Drosophila melanogaster: one gene and its partners. The protein of the gene in region 1 interacts with the protein of each later gene in a pairwise test. Each region holds a gene or a part of one and is shown in the gene's direction. Other genes may lie near its edges.

Evidence for each region. Proteins that work in one complex are often made in the same cells at the same time.
Region 2: the proteins of CG2258 (region 1) and Ythdf interact in a two-hybrid assay, tested with the Drosophila melanogaster proteins (one large-scale study listed by BioGRID).
Region 3: the proteins of CG2258 (region 1) and CG15022 interact in a two-hybrid assay, tested with the Drosophila melanogaster proteins (one large-scale study listed by BioGRID).

What each region holds. Positions count from the first base shown.
Region 1 is NC_004354.4:8,095,447-8,103,275, reverse strand, and holds the start of CG2258 (uncharacterized protein), read left to right. Parts: upstream 1-1,821; 5' UTR 1,822-2,207; intron 2,208-3,204; exon of another isoform or gene 3,205-3,567; intron 3,568-3,659; 5' UTR 3,660-3,751; coding exon 3,752-3,925; intron 3,926-3,985; coding exon 3,986-4,135; intron 4,136-4,207; coding exon 4,208-5,407; intron 5,408-5,465; coding exon 5,466-5,663; intron 5,664-5,733; coding exon 5,734-5,842; intron 5,843-5,904; coding exon 5,905-6,114; intron 6,115-6,202; coding exon 6,203-6,375; intron 6,376-6,441; coding exon 6,442-6,633; 3' UTR 6,634-7,829.
Region 2 is NT_033777.3:25,033,330-25,041,005, reverse strand, and holds Ythdf (YTH N6-methyladenosine RNA binding protein), read left to right. Parts: upstream 1-1,922; 5' UTR 1,923-2,062; intron 2,063-2,126; 5' UTR 2,127-2,142; coding exon 2,143-2,160; intron 2,161-2,237; exon of another isoform or gene 2,238-2,331; coding exon 2,332-2,353; exon of another isoform or gene 2,354-2,452; coding exon of another isoform or gene 2,453-2,489; coding exon 2,490-2,585; intron 2,586-2,687; coding exon 2,688-2,795; intron 2,796-3,023; exon of another isoform or gene 3,024-3,088; coding exon of another isoform or gene 3,089-3,124; intron 3,125-3,182; coding exon of another isoform or gene 3,183-4,019; exon of another isoform or gene 4,020-4,062; intron 4,063-4,288; coding exon 4,289-4,383; intron 4,384-4,469; coding exon 4,470-4,613; intron 4,614-4,674; coding exon 4,675-5,339; intron 5,340-5,405; coding exon 5,406-6,318; intron 6,319-6,382; coding exon 6,383-6,424; 3' UTR 6,425-7,130; downstream 7,131-7,676. Other genes in the region: bai (baiser), read right to left, coding at 673-794, 858-984, 1,050-1,120, 1,185-1,305, 1,377-1,556; CG31115 (uncharacterized protein), read right to left, coding at 3,089-3,124, 3,183-4,019; Smg6, read left to right, coding at 7,654-7,676.
Region 3 is NT_037436.4:4,458,647-4,461,998, reverse strand, and holds CG15022 (uncharacterized protein), read left to right. Parts: upstream 1-1,681; 5' UTR 1,682-1,751; coding exon 1,752-1,754; intron 1,755-1,816; coding exon 1,817-2,701; 3' UTR 2,702-2,806; downstream 2,807-3,352. Other genes in the region: CG15023 (uncharacterized protein), read left to right, coding at 680-682, 747-1,253.

The sequences.
Region 1 (7,829 bases):
ACAAATGTTTTGCGGCCGTGCGTGACCTTTTGGAAATGAAAGTCAAGCAGACCAGGAAGGAGGAGGCGACGGAGAAGGAGAGGATGGATTAAGGAATGGTTATGGGGCACATGAGGATCCACGTGCCGTAGGATCCTCCGCCAGCCACGATATCCTCCAGGAAGTCACCATGCTCTCGTCATCGTTTCGATGGAACTTCGAGTTCCTCGAACCGTCGATCGCAGCCGATTTGCCATAGTTATATAGAGAGCTAAATGCTAAACCAACTATATACCAGCGTCAAGAACTACAACGGCAACATAAATCTCAACTAAGTGCCGTTCCACGAGACCTACAAAAATATGAATACATATAGTTCAAAACGAGGCAAGGTTAAAAGTGTATTTCTGTTTGTTTTCGTTTATATCATATATATTTATTATACTATTCCTATTCTTATAAATGCAAGTACAATGAAAAGTTGTTTATTTTTTTTAATAGATATATTTACACACACACACACACATACACACGCAAATACACATTTGTTTAAAAGTGGCCTGCTGTTATTAAACTAGATATGATAAGTACACATATAACGAAAAAAACAACACTGTGCTATTATAATTTATTGTGTATGTGATTGTTTCCCCATTATGATACGATTATGATTTATTGTGACCACAAGCAAGCAAATAAACGGAAAATATTGTTGAATCTTTAAACTTAATCGAATTGGGTCGTCCAGGACTTAGGAACTTTTTATATGATGCCTTCTGAATCAAACAAAAACTGTACTTATAAACTATTTACGCCTAGTGAACGTTATTACAAAGGGGTTTCCCCTGTGAATTGTAGTCTAAAATAGCAAATTGCGGTTATAACTAATCAAAATGAAAAAATAAAAACAATATATATACTACATATGTGTGCCACAGGCAAAACGTTTAACCAGAAAAAAAAACTTGCTAGCATTTAAATAAACATTTTTATAACGCATCCCAAGAATTAGCTTGCCCTTAAAATCAGTATTTTTATATAAATCACTACACGTACTGTCCCCCACAAACGAGTTAAATATTATATGCAAATAAAGAAACGTTTTCCTGAAAACCGAAAGAGATCGAGCTTTTTTTCAACATTTAAATTCTAGCGCCAAGTTGGCAGCCCACATATATCTGATATCGATAACGATAACAGGCCGGCATGCCCCACCTCTACATTAAAAGGAGAAGAGCAAATAGGAAATAAAAACAAGTGATTGGATAATTTTTGTTTGTTGATCCCGCTGTCTTTGTTTGGTAAAATGGTGAAAACTTAGTTAACGCCACTTGGATGTGCTCAAATTTTGGTTAGTGTTATTCGTGGCTTGTTTAAAACAATATATAAACAAACTCTAAACGCCGTTAACCCTTGTGCGCGTGTGTGTTAGCTTGCGGCTTTTTTTTGGGTGTGGAATAGTTTGTTATTGTTGTTGTTGTAAACACATATGTATATCTGTGCAACAACAATTTGTCGCTCATACTTTTTAGATACAGTGCTCTCTCTTTAAAGCGCATAACAAGTATTTATTTAAATAAATTTTGAAAACTAAACAATTGCCAAAGAGTGAGTGCGGTTTTTAAACTGTTAACATTCAAGAAAATGTTAATACAATTGCAACACTTCTTGTTGCTAAAGTTTCGCCTTATCGAGTGATCACCGCCCCCCACAAGAATTCCCTTTCCGACCATCGCCCCTCCCCGGCGACAGACAAATAGACAGGAGAGCAAAAGAGACATAAAACAAGTGCATCGCATTTTGCCAGGAGAGGAGCAGCATCACCCTTCTCGCATCGCCCATTGCATTTCGCATCTCGCATCATTGGAATTAATCAAGTGAGCTTCTCATTCGCGTGCTGCGGCCAAAGGGAACAACAACAAGTGATGGAGCAGCGGAACTAGCTGTGTCGCCTTCAAAAGGACATCGAAAGCACAAAAGAGAGGAGCAGCAAACACGCCCATCGTCGGAAGGCAACATAAAGCACACACATCCACACACACACACACACATATGCAAACGTCCTTGGCTCCTGGACGCCAACAGCGGATGTGCGGGAGGGCGCAGGACGAAGGATAGCTGACGTCTGAGACAGGAAACAACAGGAAGAAGACAACAGCAGCAATAGCGACTACAACAACAGCAACCGACAAACGCAATTACGGTAAAAGGTGCGCCCAACAACATGGGTAAGTGAGCGGGGCACATTCTCATTGCATCCTTTTTGTGTTGTGCCCATTGTCGCATTTCCATACATTACACCCATTCACCGCGTGTCCTTGTGTGCGTGAGTGAGTACAGCAGCCCTGCAGTTCCGAAAATCACTTTGCATTCGAGAGCATTCACCAGGTGAATCATCGGCGACAGAGGGGCCTTCGGTCCTATTGGATGTCCAATAAGATTTCTTTTGGGGCAGTCCTATAGGAAATACAAGGTTTTCTTTAGAACAGTCCTGTACATCTATTACTATCCTTTGTAATTTGTAACTACACAACACTTGTTTATAGTAAATTTTGAAAAGTAGTTGATTTTGAAGTACTTAAAGCAAATGATCTAGTTCATTTTAGGTTTTATTAACCGCAAAATATTTGAAAAAGTGCGAAAAGCCTAACTTTGAAAACGTCCATTAGTATTGTAGCTTTATTAAAAATTAATATACATAAAGATATTTGTGAAGATTTAATGCATGCATTATATTAAAACCACAAATGTGGGCCACAAATATTACTGTTATTTGTACCGCTATTCACTGGCTTATTTATGAACCGGTTCACTCTTGCACGGATATCCTGCGAGAAAAAAGTGTGAGAGAAAGATAGAGAGAGAGAGAGAGAGGGAAATGCGCGCGCGTGGAGAGAGAAAGCACGAGTGGGCGGGGCAGTGGAGGGGGCGCTGTGTTTTGAAACGGATTTGCTCGTGTTGAGATTTTCACACAAAGCAATAAAATAGGCACCCAAAGAAAATTTAAATTTAAAAAAAATCTAAATTTGTTTTTAAATATATGTAAAAGTTCTTAGGACAGAAGTTGGACTTGAACACGTACCTTTCTCTCTAAACTGTTCAAAATAGTGTATAAATTGAATGCACTTTGTGCTTTTTTCAGTGTAGCGTGGAGCGTAGAGAGCGCAGAAGCCACGTGGCTCTCTCTGGCGTGTTTGTGTTTGTGGGGAAAACAATGTAAGCTGAAAAGGATCAAAAGCGCAAGGCGTTGTTGCAGGACCTAAAAGCAGCGCACAAAGCAGAAACGGGAAAGGCAGGAAGAGCGAGCGAGTGAGCGAGCGCAAGTGAAATATGAAAATTGCATTTTCCTCTTCCTGTGTGGGGGTGCTCCATTAAAAATTCCACCAGCACGAGGAGTATCCTCTTTGACGGCTCCGTGCGAATCCTGCGGAACTCAGCAGTTCGCTGCAGTCCAGTTTAGTGGCACGAAAAAACATTTTGGAGCATCAATAAGAGTGTAGCCAGTGCCGTCAGTCCGCAGTTTGGCCCTCGGCAGTGAACTTAACTTTTTTTTTTAGCGCCTGCTGCAGTTTTTCCCCGTGTGCTTGTGTGAGTGTCGACGCCCTTAAAGTTTTTCAAATTTTCCAGCTTTGAAAATCACTTAAAATCAATCCGTTTCGATTTAATTCTTTTTATTTTAGCAGAGGCAGCGGCAGGAGGTGGCCCTGGTGGAGGAGCAAGTGTTCCCAGTGGAGGAGGTGGCAACGACATCGGTTTAGGCATCGGCATCGAGATGCTCAAGGCTCTGTACGACTTCCAGGCGGTCTATCCGAAGACCATCAGCTTCGATGAGGGCGAGTACTTCATCCTTTACCAGACGTCCGCCCGCCAGCGCAATTGGTGGCAGGTTGTCAGCATGAAAGGCAACATTGGCTTTGTGCCCTCCAATTACGTAATGAAGATTAAGGTGGAGTACATCGCTCACTAGTGGCTAAAAGGATTACTAAACATATGCAAATTTTGACAGGTGGAGCACGACTTTCTCATCAGCTTTCTGAACTCCTCGATAGAATCGCTGGAGAAGTGCACGGACCATGAGATCAATGGCATCATGTCCAAGGACGAACTGCTGGACAGGCTGCGCGAGAAGAAGCACACCATGGAGCGTCTGTATGCGGTGGGTAGATTCTAACTACTCGTATGGCCAAATGAATGTTATTGATGACCTATCTCCCCTCCTATCTTGCAGGAGAGTTCCGAGCGCGACGGTGACTCCTCGCTTTCCTATTCACACAGCTACAGTGACAAGGGTAGCCACCGGCACTCGCATCCCCATCCCACCCAATCCCAGACGCAGCTTCATTCCCAGCACAGGCAGCACAGTCCGCCGCCCAGCGGCGGCAGCGTTGGCTCCCAGCGTTTGGACATGAGCAAGAAGAGCATGTCAAGTCCAGCGGTGGGCTCATCGTGCGGCCTGCCCCAGAATCAGGGCATGATCGAATCGCCCAGCATGGGCAGCATGCAGTTCCAGGGCAGCAGCTGCACCATCCAGACGCCGCAGCAGCAACAGCCGCTCCCAGCACCGCCAGCACCAGCTCCCTCGCCATCGGCAGCATCGGCCACACCCACTGCGGCATCAACGAGCAAAGCGGCCACCGGCGGTGATGTCGCGCAGGACAATAGCATTACGTCGGAGCCCTCGGAGACGACAACGACCACTACGACGACCAGCGAAGATGTGGTCACCACATACAAGGAGACCAGCCAAATGAGCACCAGCCAGCAGCATAAGCCGCAAAATGGGAGCACTGCCTCGGCGTCCATTTCCGCATCTGCCTCGGCCTCAGCTTTGCGCAGCAACGGCGGCAACGGCAAGGCCAACGGTAGTGCCACAGCCCTGCATCAGGAGCTGCAGCAGGAGGAAGCGGACAGTGCGCCGGACAAGTCGGATGATGCCAGCGCCGTGCAAAGTGACGACGGTTGCCCGGCCAACGGAGATAGTGCGGATAATAGCCAGGCGCTGGACAGCATCGACAGTCCGTCGCATCGACAGCGCGGCCTGAGCCTGGGCAGAATCGAGGAGGGTGCCACAGGAGGAGGCCAGTTGAAGGTTGAGTCATCGGATGTATATCAGATTGTGGACGCCCTGCGGCGGAACACCAACCTCAGCTTCGATCTCTCCTGTGAAGCATTGCGCGTGGTGCTGACCAGCCTGGAGCAGCTGTACAACGGTGCCATCAATCCGTACCTGGAGGCGGTGGCCGTTCATGTCACTGGCAAAGTGGCCACGCCCAAGGAGCTGCTGGGCATTACGCACGACGCCAAGCGCTTGCAGTATCTCTTTGCCCAGCTGGCGGACTGCAAGAACGATACGGAGCAACGCACTTGGATGCTCTACGAGGATGAGGAGGACATCATTCAGTTCCTTGAGGAGCTTGTTGAGATTTTGGTAGGAACTAGTTTTTTTTTTGTAACTTTAAATCTTAAACTTATATCACTCCTTACAGATCAATGCTGATGAGAGCATCAGTTGCTACGAGATGTCCTGCGATCAGTACCAGATGTTTATCAATCTGGTGCAGTACTATCAGATGGAGACGCGCTGGTCCATCAAGCGACTGCTGCTTAAGACCTTTACGGCCGCTTGCCATCTGGACTATATCATTGTGGACATATTGCTGACCTCGGTGCTGCCATTGGAGATTGTAAGCAGGAGCTCAGATTGTGCCACCTAATGGTTTTCTAAGTTTAGAACTTAACATACTTAACTTTCAGGTCGAGGACATGAAGACGCACTTCTCCAATCTGGATCGCTTCAAGCAGCTGGTCAAGATGCTCACTATTATCTTCTCACTTGGACAGCCCATGCCGGTTAATCATCAGGGTAAAAGCTATCTTAACTTATTAACCAATAGTTGCATGCTTATACTTTGATGTCTATTATAGATTATTTGGGCGTACATTTTGCCAGCTTCCTACTGGAAATCGTCGAGGGCAATAATCCGGAGGTCTTGGTGGACATGGTCATTGCCTTGATCTTGGCCTTCAATCAGCAATTTAGCGAACATACCTATAATGTCATCATCGAAGGTATGCAGAATCTGCCATCCGCCAAAGTGTTTACGGAGAAGTTGCTACTTTTGCTCAATCGAGAGGGTAAGTTTTCAATTTTAAGCATACTTTTTAATTAACTACAAAACATAAGCATGTAAATTGGATCGATTTCTTCTTGAATTCTAACCAGATGATCCCACACGCTTGCTCAAGCATCCCAACGAGCATATGAACACGGTGCTGCGAATGTTTATCGACATATTCAGCCATCCGGATACGGCGGGCATGTTCTACACGAATGACATCAAGGTGCTTATCGATATAGTGGTTCGCCAGCTATCCGATTTGGATGCCGGCAGTACGGTGAGTCCGCCAAAAGTCAATGCAACTATAGTGCTCCCTACTAAGTACACTTTAATTTGGTTTCAGACGCGACCATGCTACTTGGAGCTTTGCCGACGCATCCTGCGCAATACGAACTATCAGGAGCACCAGCATCGCAAGCATGATCTCATGAAGATCTTCACGCGCATCTTCTGCGAGGAGACCGAGTGCAGTGCCTCCGATCAGCAGCTGGTGCGGGAAATAGCGAACGAATTTCCGCAGCTGTTCAAGGCCTAAGGATTATTGGATACGTATACCAAAACAACAACAAAAGCCCAAACCAAAAAAAAAAAGAACAAAAAACACGGAGGGAAACCAAAATTGTAAAGCGTTGCTAGTGAGGCGAGCCGTTGAAAGCGAGCCAAACCTTAAAATCTCAAATAATTTCAAGTTTGATCAGTGCATTTGTTATGCGTTTGTTTTAGCGTTTCGGTCTAGGATAGCCCTCGTCAAAAAAAAAAGTCAAATATTGAAAAGAATGCATTTCGATCCATGCCGGATCGAAAGGGAGCACACACGCGACTCTACATATATCTTATGAACATAGTCTGTAAGCAGGACAAATGTACTAGTTGCATGTGGAGTAGATGCAACCTCATAGAGATGATAACCCAATCTAGCGATCTAGGCGAAAGAAATGAAGCTATAGCCTATAGCCCATATAGTCTAACACTAAATTATCCCCTGTTTAGGATGATTTCACTAATTTAGAATTTAGCCAGGGACAATTTTAGCCAGAAGCAGAGTCAGAGATTAGCCTCACTTTTAAATTTTTATAGTTCCAATTGCCCATTTGTTTGGAATTCAAAATTTTGACAAAACAAAAGAAGATGGAAGCATAAGAAAGAATGAAATCTTTCGAGGAATATAATATTTATAGCCTAATTATACACCTATAATGAAAATATACATTCATGGCGAATGCGAATGAAACGTTAATTGCAATCTACAAGTAAACAATTGATATATTAACGATGTATGATCGCAGTATTTGCAGCTAGCAAAATCCAAATCGATTCGAATGTAACGAGCATATAATGTTAAATTTGTTTATATAATCTATGAGATGGAGAACTAAGCCGAACAGGAAATCATTGACAATTGTTAAAGCTCAAATACTTATTAATTGGAGGCTAAGGAGGCTGGAAATTGAAAATAATTAACTATGCAAGAGCATTGAAAGTTAGGACAACCATTTGCATTTCTCACTCACTAAAAGACACGAACACACTGTGGCACTTGCATTTTGAAGGTATACAGAATTCCGAATTATATTAAAACAAATTATTGCAGTACCAGTTTTATTTTTTTTTGTAATACTTGTTAATACCTTTTCTTTCTGAACTATAGGGTTTTAACCTCCAGCAAACCAGCCACATTTTCTCTATATATCTCTCACTATTTATCAAGAAAAAATAACAACACAAAATTCC
Region 2 (7,676 bases), on another chromosome or scaffold:
TTCAGTTTTCTATCACTAATCAAAGTTGCCAGCGGACCGAAAAAAAATGTTTGTGGATCAAGAGTCCAGCTCGCAGCATCGTTTATGAGATCTCTTCAAGTCCTATAATCTTATATTTATGCTTTTCTAGGTCCTGCGGATCCCACAGCTATATCGAAGCTACCGGAGAGCTTGGCGAACCTGGTGAACCAGGCGCTGAACGACGAAAGCCTGTGGATGGAGCAGTCCGTGGTGGACGATTCGAGTGCATCGAACAGCTCCGCGGCCAAGTCGCGCTATATCTTGATGAAGAAGGGAACCACAAGTCCGTGCAAGGAAGACACCGACGAGGCAGGCGCTTTGGCCGCCAAAAGCGACGGACTGGATACAGAGAGTGCAATGTTGCTGAAGGAAACAACCGTCTAAGGGAATCGCAATTTTTAACTTATGCCAGCTGAGCCAATAACTTGTACCGTGTGGTTTTGTGTTATGTACCTGTTATGTTAAACGCGTCCAATACGAGCTATTTATTTGTCACACCGCCAAGAAATGTGGAGAGCAGTCGCAGTAATAAAATATACATACGTGGTAGTTGCATTTATTTCAGAAAAACGTTCAAAAGATGAAAGGATGAAATCTAAACCAGGCATTTAAACACAGTTCCACGCACGCATTAAGACTACGGCTAGACGACTATTCGATGAGTTTTTTGGCTTTGAAGTACCTGCGGAGGTACAGAACTTGCCACGTCGCCAAGCCGAGCAGGCAGCACATGCTGAAGATGCTGAAGAACAGCACGCGGCTGTTGGTTTTCTCTGTAGGCAGAATGCGAACAATAATTAGACGTGATTCTAGGGAATTTTTGGTATTTCACATACCATTGGTATCGCGCATTTCCTCCTCCCGCTTGCGCATGAGAACGAAATCACGCACAATGGAGTCGGAGAGATCCTCCAAACGCTTAAGATCAACTTCAAGGGGCTTCAGTTTGGATGCTTCGCCAATCTGCATATGATTAAAGGATTGCAAGTCAAGTGTAAAACATGCAAAAAGGACATAAGTGTACTTACGCCTTCGTAGCTCTTGGTCTCCACTCCCTTTTTGGTCAAGAGCGATACTTCCTGTATAACGCCGCGTTGATCTGCACAGAAATCGAAACGTTTATATATATACGCTATGGGAGTTTATTGCAAACTATAACTTACGTGCAGGAACTTTGGATATAAAGCAGATTTCGTACGTATCGTACACCTCGGACATGAAGCTGAACTTGCCCTTAGTGATGTGCTCCTTCTGCGACAGGATGTGTCCCTTGGTGTCGCGTGCCTGTTGGACGCAAATTGAGTTCGTTAAGTGCGTGGAGTAAGTTAAGTACGTGTACCGAGCGGAAAACTCACAATGTAGTCGATGATCTGGCCGGGTACGTCGGAAACTTCGAACTCGCCCATAACCAGTTGGTTCGCCTGGATGTCTTCCTTGAGGCACTTCTGGGTGTTCGGCGACAGCTTGAACATCACCGCATGGCTGCTCCAGGCACAGGCCATCAGTAGGCACACAATAAAAGCCGCCCTCGCCATAGCTAACAATTTAAATCTAACAAAATCTACGGCTGACAAAGATGAGGTGGCTATTTTATAGAGCTGGCACAAGACCGATGTTTTGGCGATGATATCGATGTGTCTAGAATTTTGGCAGCACTGGTTTGGCGCAATCGGTACTAAATACTAAATATAACCGCAACTTAACTATGTCTCTCAAAAATTTAAACTCTTATTTATTTTAGTAAAATACAATCTTAATTCAAATTCCAATCACCTCAATGCTTAATATGACACTAGCTTGCATTTTAATCACACAGCCGTTAAATTAGTGTTGATAATATCGCTTTGTCTGCGCAACGCCGTTCGCGTGAAAAGTGACGGCTTCGGAAGCGTTAAGAATCCCGTCAGTGTATTGGTTAATGTGCGTGTGGTGTCAGTGTATGTGGTTCTTTAAGTAAAAAAAATATATCGGAGTTTATAAAAACTTTTAAGCAACAAACTCTGCCTGCCTTGTGTTTTTATATCATTTATTTTAAAAAGGGGTAATATAGCTACGGCCAGTCAACCGAATCGGCGCCGCCATACTAAGCCATTTCCTATTTGCAGGCAAAAAGTGCAGCAAATGTCAGGCGTGGATCAGGTAATTGTATTTTGCATACACACATATGTACATATGCTCGATTCGATTTATGTCGGGATTTCGCAGGAAGATTTTCCATTGTTAAGCAGCGATTAATGTTCGGATATACAGTGGCTGACAAGCCAATACGATACGATAAGTGTATTAACCTGCGTTGCGTTTCCGTTTCAGATGAAAATACCAGGAAACACAGGTATATAACCTACCACCACAGACAGAGCGTTTTCCCATAGACAGGAACTACTCGACGGCCGAGTTTTCGATCGTATTTCTTGCTTAATGTGCGGTTTTAATGCGATTTTCTCTGTTTACCATGCCCCACAATGCAGCTAAATCGGTCGAGGAGCGCAACATACCATGGAGTCAGCAAGTCGATGAGGCCTCGTACGAAAATCTATCCTCTCCCACTCACGATGAAGTCTCTGGTGAGTTCTTCGACTATAAGAAATATATGGGTTTCCAAAAGCCATCTAACCCATGTCTATTCCTAACCCTCCACCCCGCACCTACCGCCTACACCCACCCAGGCAATGACAACTCCATGCAATTCCAATATCCGCCGTTCAACTTCAAGGAGAATTGCAACACTCCATGGAACAATATGAACAAGGGCCGAAAGGCGAACGCCAACCATGGTATGTATAGCAGTTTTTGTTTTTTTTTTCCACCCAGCACTTGACTTGCACTCGGCGCGTAATCGTTCTCACTAACTGGTTTTTCGACTCTGCGAATATGCATAAGTCGGTGCACCGGGAAGTCGGGATTAGTCCGATTAGCTTCCGATTGGATTCACTTGGCTCATTGCAGCTTATGATCGCTTAGAGATCAAGATAAGTAGCTTTGCGCCAACGCATAGAACAATTCAAAACGGACGCTAATATTATTTATTTGCATAATTTTAAAACAATACCTTTCACAAGACCGACCATCATTTACTATTAGCAAAGTTGCTGCACACCAGAATCTAAGAAAAATTGATTTTAGAATCAATTTTATGTAAGTTACATTGCAATCAACATTACCTTTGCCTTTAGAATATCCTCGGCCCAATCCTCGGCAGCCATATTCCGAATAGCCGTTATCAGGACCTTCTGGAGGTTTTCGGATTGCTTCTTAAAGATGTAGATGATTTCGTGAGTGGTTGCGTTCGGCTGCTTGGCGCACCAGCACTCCATGTTGGTGACCAGACCCAGCGAGGCGTACGGAATGCCCGCCTCCTTGGCCAAAATGGCCTCGGGACACAGGGTCATGCTCAGCAGATCGGCGCCCCACTTGCGGAACATATTGTTTTCGGCAACGGTGGAGTAACGCGGTCCTTCCAGTGTGAGCACCGTGCCGCTGGATCCCGTGGGGAATCCCAGCTCTTCGGCGGCACTCAGAAGGTGCTGCCTGGTGCGTTCGCAAAAGGTCGGATTCATGGGCACGTGACAGACGCCCAATGGACTACCCACGGCACCGTCGTAAAAGGTCTGAGCACGTCTGGATGTATAATCTATCACATCATTTGGCACCACCAAGTGTCCCGGCTGGAAGGTGTCCCTCAGCGAACTGAACGTGTTGGTCACCAGGATGTGGGTGCAGCCCATCTTGCGCATGGCCCACACATTCGCCCTATAGTTAATGTTGCTGGGCATGATGTCGTGGTTGCGTCCATTTCGTGATAGCAGGCACACATTGACGCCTTCTATCTGGCCATCGATGATCACATCGGATGGTTTTCCAAACGGCGTGCATACTGCATACTCCATGCGCTCTGCCAAGTAGATGGGCTTGTCCAAATTGGCCTCTCCAATTATGCCAATTTTGATGGGGATGGTGTCCTTCTCAAGTTCGCTCTGCACTTCTAAATCCGCCTCCATTGCAAAAGTAAATTTGGATAATTTTCGTAAAATCTGTTTGCCAGAAAGTAAAACAAAAACGAAATGTTATTCAAGTTGCTGTGCCTCCTTAAATTTGTTTAAATGCATTTTCACCCACAGATAATGCAAGTTTCTTTGGATCTTTTAAGAAATCATGAACTTTAAAGCGTGAAGGTGTGGCGTATGTAAATAATTAATGTAATATTTGTCTAAGCAATCAAACTTTCTTGAAAATTGTTCTAACATGTAGTCTTTCACGATATTTGTAGATTCATATAGAAGACATGGTCATAGTATTCCCAATAACACACGACGCGACGAGCACCAAGTAAATCCTTGGAATTCCAGGAAGCCAGCAGCACAGGTACATATTATTATTTATCTATATTGAAACCATATTCGGAAAGAATTTATCCCTAAACTAATGTTTATTTCCGTAAAACCCCTAAGTCGTTTCGAAATGAAAACGATCAGCCGTCTACAAAACTGGACAACAGAACAAGCGATGAAGCACAAAATCAAGAAGTTGTCGCCGCTCCCAAGAAGACAACCTGGGCCTCGATTGCCTCCCAGCCAGCCAAACTAACATCGAGAGTGAGTATCTGACTCATTGGGCCAGCGGGCAAACCCACTTATATCCTGTCTACGTTCACAGGCAGCGTCCACCACTTCCAACAGCAAGAAGAAGGGTCCTGGCATGCCACCACCACCCATGGTTCCGGGAAAGCACAATTTAGATGTTAACGTATGGGATTTGCCGAATAACAAACCACCTCCTGTACCATCTCCACCCTCGCCGATCGATTTGGGCTATTCCGACTTGAGTTCTGACTTCTCCATATCGAGCAACACGGCACCGCCATTGGGCGCACGAGCCGAGAAAGTGCACAAGGATACGGAGAACTTCCTGAAATACGAGCACAAGGGCTTGGGAAATAACAATAACTTCAGCAGAGCCAAGGTTTCGCCCACGGGACCTGTTCGCAGGAATCTAGGGCCCCAGCAGCCTGTCCACCATGCCGCCCCACGTCCAGCGACCAATGCCGGTCCATTTGGGCCACCGAACGCCAGACGACACGACGGCGGGCCGCATCCAAGCCGGAACTCGGAGCGCTCGGGCAACTATTCCAGTTTCCGCGGCAGCGAGTTTGAGAGTGCTTCGAAGTTCGAATACCGCGACGAGAACCAATCACGACCGGTGGAAGCCACATCTGCAACCGAAGAGCTGCCTGTCGATTCCCAACTCGTGTTGGACGAATTAAAAGACAAAAACAATTACAACCCAAAAGTGTTGGACTTGAAAAAAGCCGGATCGGCCAGGTAAATTTGCTATATTTGATTTTAATGGCGGTATTCGTATACTGATGCTTACTTTTATCCTCTCAGATTCTTTGTCATCAAATCGTACTCCGAAGATGACATCCATCGCAGTATAAAGTATGAGATTTGGTGCTCAACCGATCACGGCAATAAGAGATTGGACGATGCCTTCAAGGAGCGACACGAAGAGGGCGGCAACATAATGCTGTTCTTCTCGGTGAATGGATCTGGCCATTTCTGCGGCATGGCACAAATGATGACGCCGGTCGACTACAACTCAACGTCGAGCGTCTGGTCGCAGGACAAGTGGAGGGGCAAGTTCAAGGTGAAATGGATATATGTCAAAGATGTGCCTAACGGAACGCTGCGTCACATTCGACTGGAGAACAATGAGAATAAGTCGGTGACGAACTCAAGGGACACCCAGGAAGTGCCCAACGACAAAGGCATCGAGGTGCTGCAGATTTTGCACTCGTACAACCATTCAACGTCCATATTCGATGACTTCTTCCACTATGAAAAGAAGCAGGAGGAAGAGGTGTCCTCGAAGCGTCCGCCAATGCATGGGCCCGATGGCAACAACCACGCGCCTGCCCCACTCGCCCGCAGCTTCAATCGCCAGGCGGACGACAAGGACAGGGATCGCGACGGACGCGGCGGCATGTCACAAAAGCACTTCAATTCTGGAGGAGGAGCTGGTTTCCGTAATCCAGGTCATAGGGGTGGCGCCGGCAGTGGCGGATCACACAACAATTACAGCGAGTATCGTCGAGGCTTCGACATTCATAAATCAAGCAGCGACTATCAGTTCAAGGACCGCGATGGCCCGGACTTTGACAGAGAAAATGACTTTGGGTCCCACTACGGGTCCAATAACCGAAAAAATGAATACAAACACAATAATACGAACAAGGCCAGGTTAAAAACCCGAGATCGTGACTTTAGTACTGAACAAATTAAAATCGGCGTGCGCTTTAAGGTGGGTTCATTTGCATCTAAAGATTTAACAATTAACTAATTATTGGAATCGAATTTGATTGCAGGACACGGACAAGGATAAAATGCGAAGCAATGAATATTCATAAATTTACTGAGCTGCTGCGGTAGAATTCTTTTTTAAATGATATTGAATGGACTCCCACAATCCGTTGAATTGCTTAGAGACGTTAAATTATAATTTTTAGATTTTTTAACCATTGCGTGTACAAGATAAAATCCCGATTCATGGCGAGCATATATAACGAACATGTGGGATCTAGGATTAACGATTAAAGTATGATAACATTTTTACGTAATTATTTATTACAATATTTATATAAATCTATTGACGCTCACATTGAACAGTTCATAAAAAAATTAATGATCGATTTTGCCGATATATATACAACATTTATAAACACCAAGGAGTCTGCTTCAGCCATTCCTTGTAGTTGCACTGTAACAATTTATACAACTTATTTGAATCTAAAGTGTACACGACTTATGTATGTATAATATAATTAAAGTAACCAATCCATCAATTACTCATTGACTAATCTACCAACATCTCTCGACACATAAATGCGCTATTTGTAAGAGATTGATCAAAAACTTACCTTTCCAACCAGCTTAAAATAGTATTTTCTAAATAATACTTACACGTAAAGCAATATGGGCCGCATATTATTACTTTCACAGCGCTATCCAATAATTATACGTTAGTGGAAGACTGAAACAGTATAATAAACGAAGTCATGTACGTAACAAAATTAAACCCAACAAAACATGCAAACATAAAGCGAACTCATACTCAAACTGCAACGACTTTTCTGATTCGATGAGCTATTTTTTTTAGTTTGAAATTAAATTTAAATAGAAGGCTAAATGAGAGGCAGAAACAATGGATCTTGGTTTTGTGATCTGTGGCGAATGAAATGGGTAAGTAATGTTCTGAGGTCAAAATGAAAATTAAGAATTCTCCATGCTTAAATGTACCTTTAGAATTCCATTTCATACTGGCAAATTGGTTATTTTGTCGCTAAAATAGAAGTGCAGATAGTTTATCTCTATATATTTTCAAAAATCAAGCATTCCGGTCAAAAGAAATCAATTCTAAAGCAAACGTTGAAAATCATTTGGCATTCAAATCTGGCGCCTAAAAAATGCGTATGTCAGCAGTCCAAACAGCATTGTTAGCGGTCTGGTCACACTCATCCGCCTTGGCCACCGGTCACACTGCTGATCTAAAGATTTTTCGAGGCGTAATTTACACTCTACACATTTGACAAACTTCCAAGAAAGGAATAAATGCAACAGCAAAAGCATCGTTTAAAATATGAGTCGAAAGGGAACACGAGA
Region 3 (3,352 bases), on another chromosome or scaffold:
CAGAGCACGCTTACAACGCTTCCAGCGACGGAACTACCTCTTCAGATGCACTGAGAGAAAATTTAGCTTGACTAGCTTAAAATAAATAACATTAAGTGCATGTACCTTTCATGTATGAATGAATTTCATTAATTAACATTTAAAATATGTAGCAACCCATATCAGAATGCAAGTACTCGCTGATTACTTATTTCAAATTGATTCAAAATCTGCTCAGAATTTTTATGAATTTATGACTGTTTTTCTGTGTGCTAAGCTTTTGTGCCCCAGGTTCCGTCGGAAGTTTGGTCATACCTTTAACACCGTAACAATGAAAACCCAAGTGACGACGTTGATGAAAAACGGCTCAGTAGGGCCCCATATAGGCATAATAGTTCCGAAACAAAGTTGGCGATGTTGACGCTGCTCCTCTGTCAACTTCGGCGCACTATTGTGGCGCTAATCATTCATATAAACATGGCTGCGGAGAGCGCTACAGATACAGATACATTTACCGATACAAAGAATGCCGTGGGGCTAGCGGTGTTATATCGATTTAAATGATAATAATTGGCCTCTAGAGCGCCATGGACAGTATCGATCTGTTTTAGAATTTTGACTATAAATAAACCGACGTGGATGCAAACGCTCAATCATTTGTGGTTTAAGAGCTCAAGGTGTTAGACATATCATAAAGGAGATGGTGAGTGTGGTCAGTTGTAGATATGAGAAGCAATCTGAACTTCACGATTTCTTTCCTATTTCAGAAGCTATTCATTTTGGCTACCTGTCTGCTGGCTTTTGCAGCCGGTGATGTTTCGCATTTGCCGCTGGAACTCCTGGAGGAGCATCATGAGCATGGCTATGGCTATGACTACCCCAAGCCGGAGATACCATTTGTGATTACCTCGACGACGGAGCCACCACCGCCACCACCGACTTATCTGCCACCCAAACCAGTACCCACTTACCTACCTCCTCCTCCGCCCACAACCACAACTACCACCACAACCACTCCGGCTCCTACTCCCGCTCCTACCTACCTTCCTCCCCCTCCACCTACTACCACTACCACGACAACCACTCCCGCTCCCACTCCTGCTCCCACTTACCTTCCTCCCCCACCTCCACCACCGCGTACCACTACCACCACCACCACTACAACCACAACGACACCTGCACCCACGCCAGTGCCCACGTACCTTCCACCCCCACCACCACAACCGGAACCGGGTTACCACTACGATGTGCCCGCCCAAGAGTTCACCTTCTGAGCAAAATCGCGATCGAACTGAACATGGAAGATTTCCCCGGATTAGTTTTGTTTTAAATCGTTCCACTAGGCTTAGGTTTATATAAGGTTAAAGCCATCTCAATAAACGCTGTTTTGTTAACCCCATTAGCATCGGTATCTCCCAAATATTTATTGGGATGGGACAAAAGTGGTACAGATGGCCGAGTCAATCACCGTCAATTGTCTGGGATTTCGTCGCATCCGCTGCATATTCATGAGCTGCTTTGTTGTGCAGAGCTAATTTGGTCGAAATCGCATTAATTGTTTTGGGGTAGAGGGAGATAACACACGCCGATAATTGGCCGACCTCAAGTTCATGAAAACCAAGAAAAGTGTGAAGAAAACCAAATAGCCAGCCGGTCGAGGAAGGCGCGATCTTTGTATAAAAGCGGTGACCATCGACGTTATTGACATTACTACCTGCTGTCATCAAACGGCAGCAACATCATCTCGATCGGTGGATTATCTCTTAAAGGAAATGGTAAACAGTAGCGGCATATTCTCTAATAAAGATGACCTAACAGGAGGTTGGTTATTTTACAGAAACCCATGCTGATCCTTTTGGCTCTGGCAGGCTTTGCCATCTGTATTCGGGCAGACGTGTCCCACCTGTACGGAGGAGGTTACCACGATCACGGCCATGATCACCATCACCACCATGATCACGATCACGATCATGATCACCACCACTATGATGTCCATTCCCACCACCATTCTCCCTCGTCACACGATCATCATGATCTGCACATTGATCTGCACTATCAGCCGGATCACCACCATCATCATCATCAAGAGGCCAAGTTCGATATCCCTAGCGGATATAGCTATGGACCTCCAGAGAAACCTCGCCAGAAGTACCTGCCGCCCAAGGTTTCCCTGCCACCGCCACCACCTCCACCGCCCAAGGCAACTTATCTGCCTCCCTCAAAGCCTGAAGTGAAGTACCTGCCCCCCGAACCGGTGGCCAAGTATCTGCCACCCAAGGTCGCTCCCAGCCTGCCTCCTCCACCACCACCTCCAGTTGTGGCGCCCAAGCCCACATATCTGCCTCCCAGTCCGCCAGAGTCCAAGTACCTTCCTCCTCCGACGCCCGAGGTGAAGTATCTGCCACCTGCTCCAGTGGCAAGGTATCTGCCACCCAAGGTTGCACCCAGTCTGCCACCACCACCTCCACCCCCACCAGTGGCTCCCAAGAAGCTGTATCTTCCTCCTGCCGAGCCGGAGACTAAGTACCTGCCACCTTCCGAGCCCGTCGAGAAGTATCTGCCTCCTAAGCCCGAACAAAAATATCTGCCACCCCAGCCTGAGGTAGATTTCCACATACCGATTCCATCCTATGCACTGCCCTTGGGCCCTGCACCAAGTCCAATCCACGACGCCGAGCCTGGTTACCACTACAAGCCTCCACTTCGCCGTTTCAGGCATTAGGATAATCAACCACCGAAAAAAAACCAAACCACAAGCACTGCATCTAGTTTTAAGCTGTACACATTAAAAGCATTTTTAACAAAAAATAAAATGGAGTATTACACCACTCGCACTCTTTCCCCATCCTCAAGGTCAAAGATATCAAACCCAAATTGCTGTCACCCAGCCCCCAAGGGATCCATGTGGATTTCAATCTGACCTCCAAATCTAATTGCGGCCAATCAACCGAAATAGCCAAACGGCTTCGGTTTTAGCTTTAGTTCAGCTCGATCATCACCTGCAGTGTCGATAATTACTGTCTTTTTGGATGAAAAATGATGTGAGTTTTGGTTTGAATATATTTATAGGGATTGATCGGTGTCGGTTACAGAAAGGTTCAAACCGAACCAAAATCGCTAATCGCCAATTGCAGCCATCGGCAATGGGACGACAGTTGACCTCTTTCAATGTTGCCCAGAGATGGGGCAAGTCTTTTAAAGGTGCCATGAAAAGATTAGACAGAAATAAATAATTAAGCCCCTAACGAATTGAGTATGCTCTTTTGAAAAGGGTTAAAGTTTAAATGTTTAAACATTAGGTTACTTTAATAGCACACTTGATTTGTCTTTCATTTTGTCTTTAAGCATTTTAATTAAAACCTGATAGTGATGT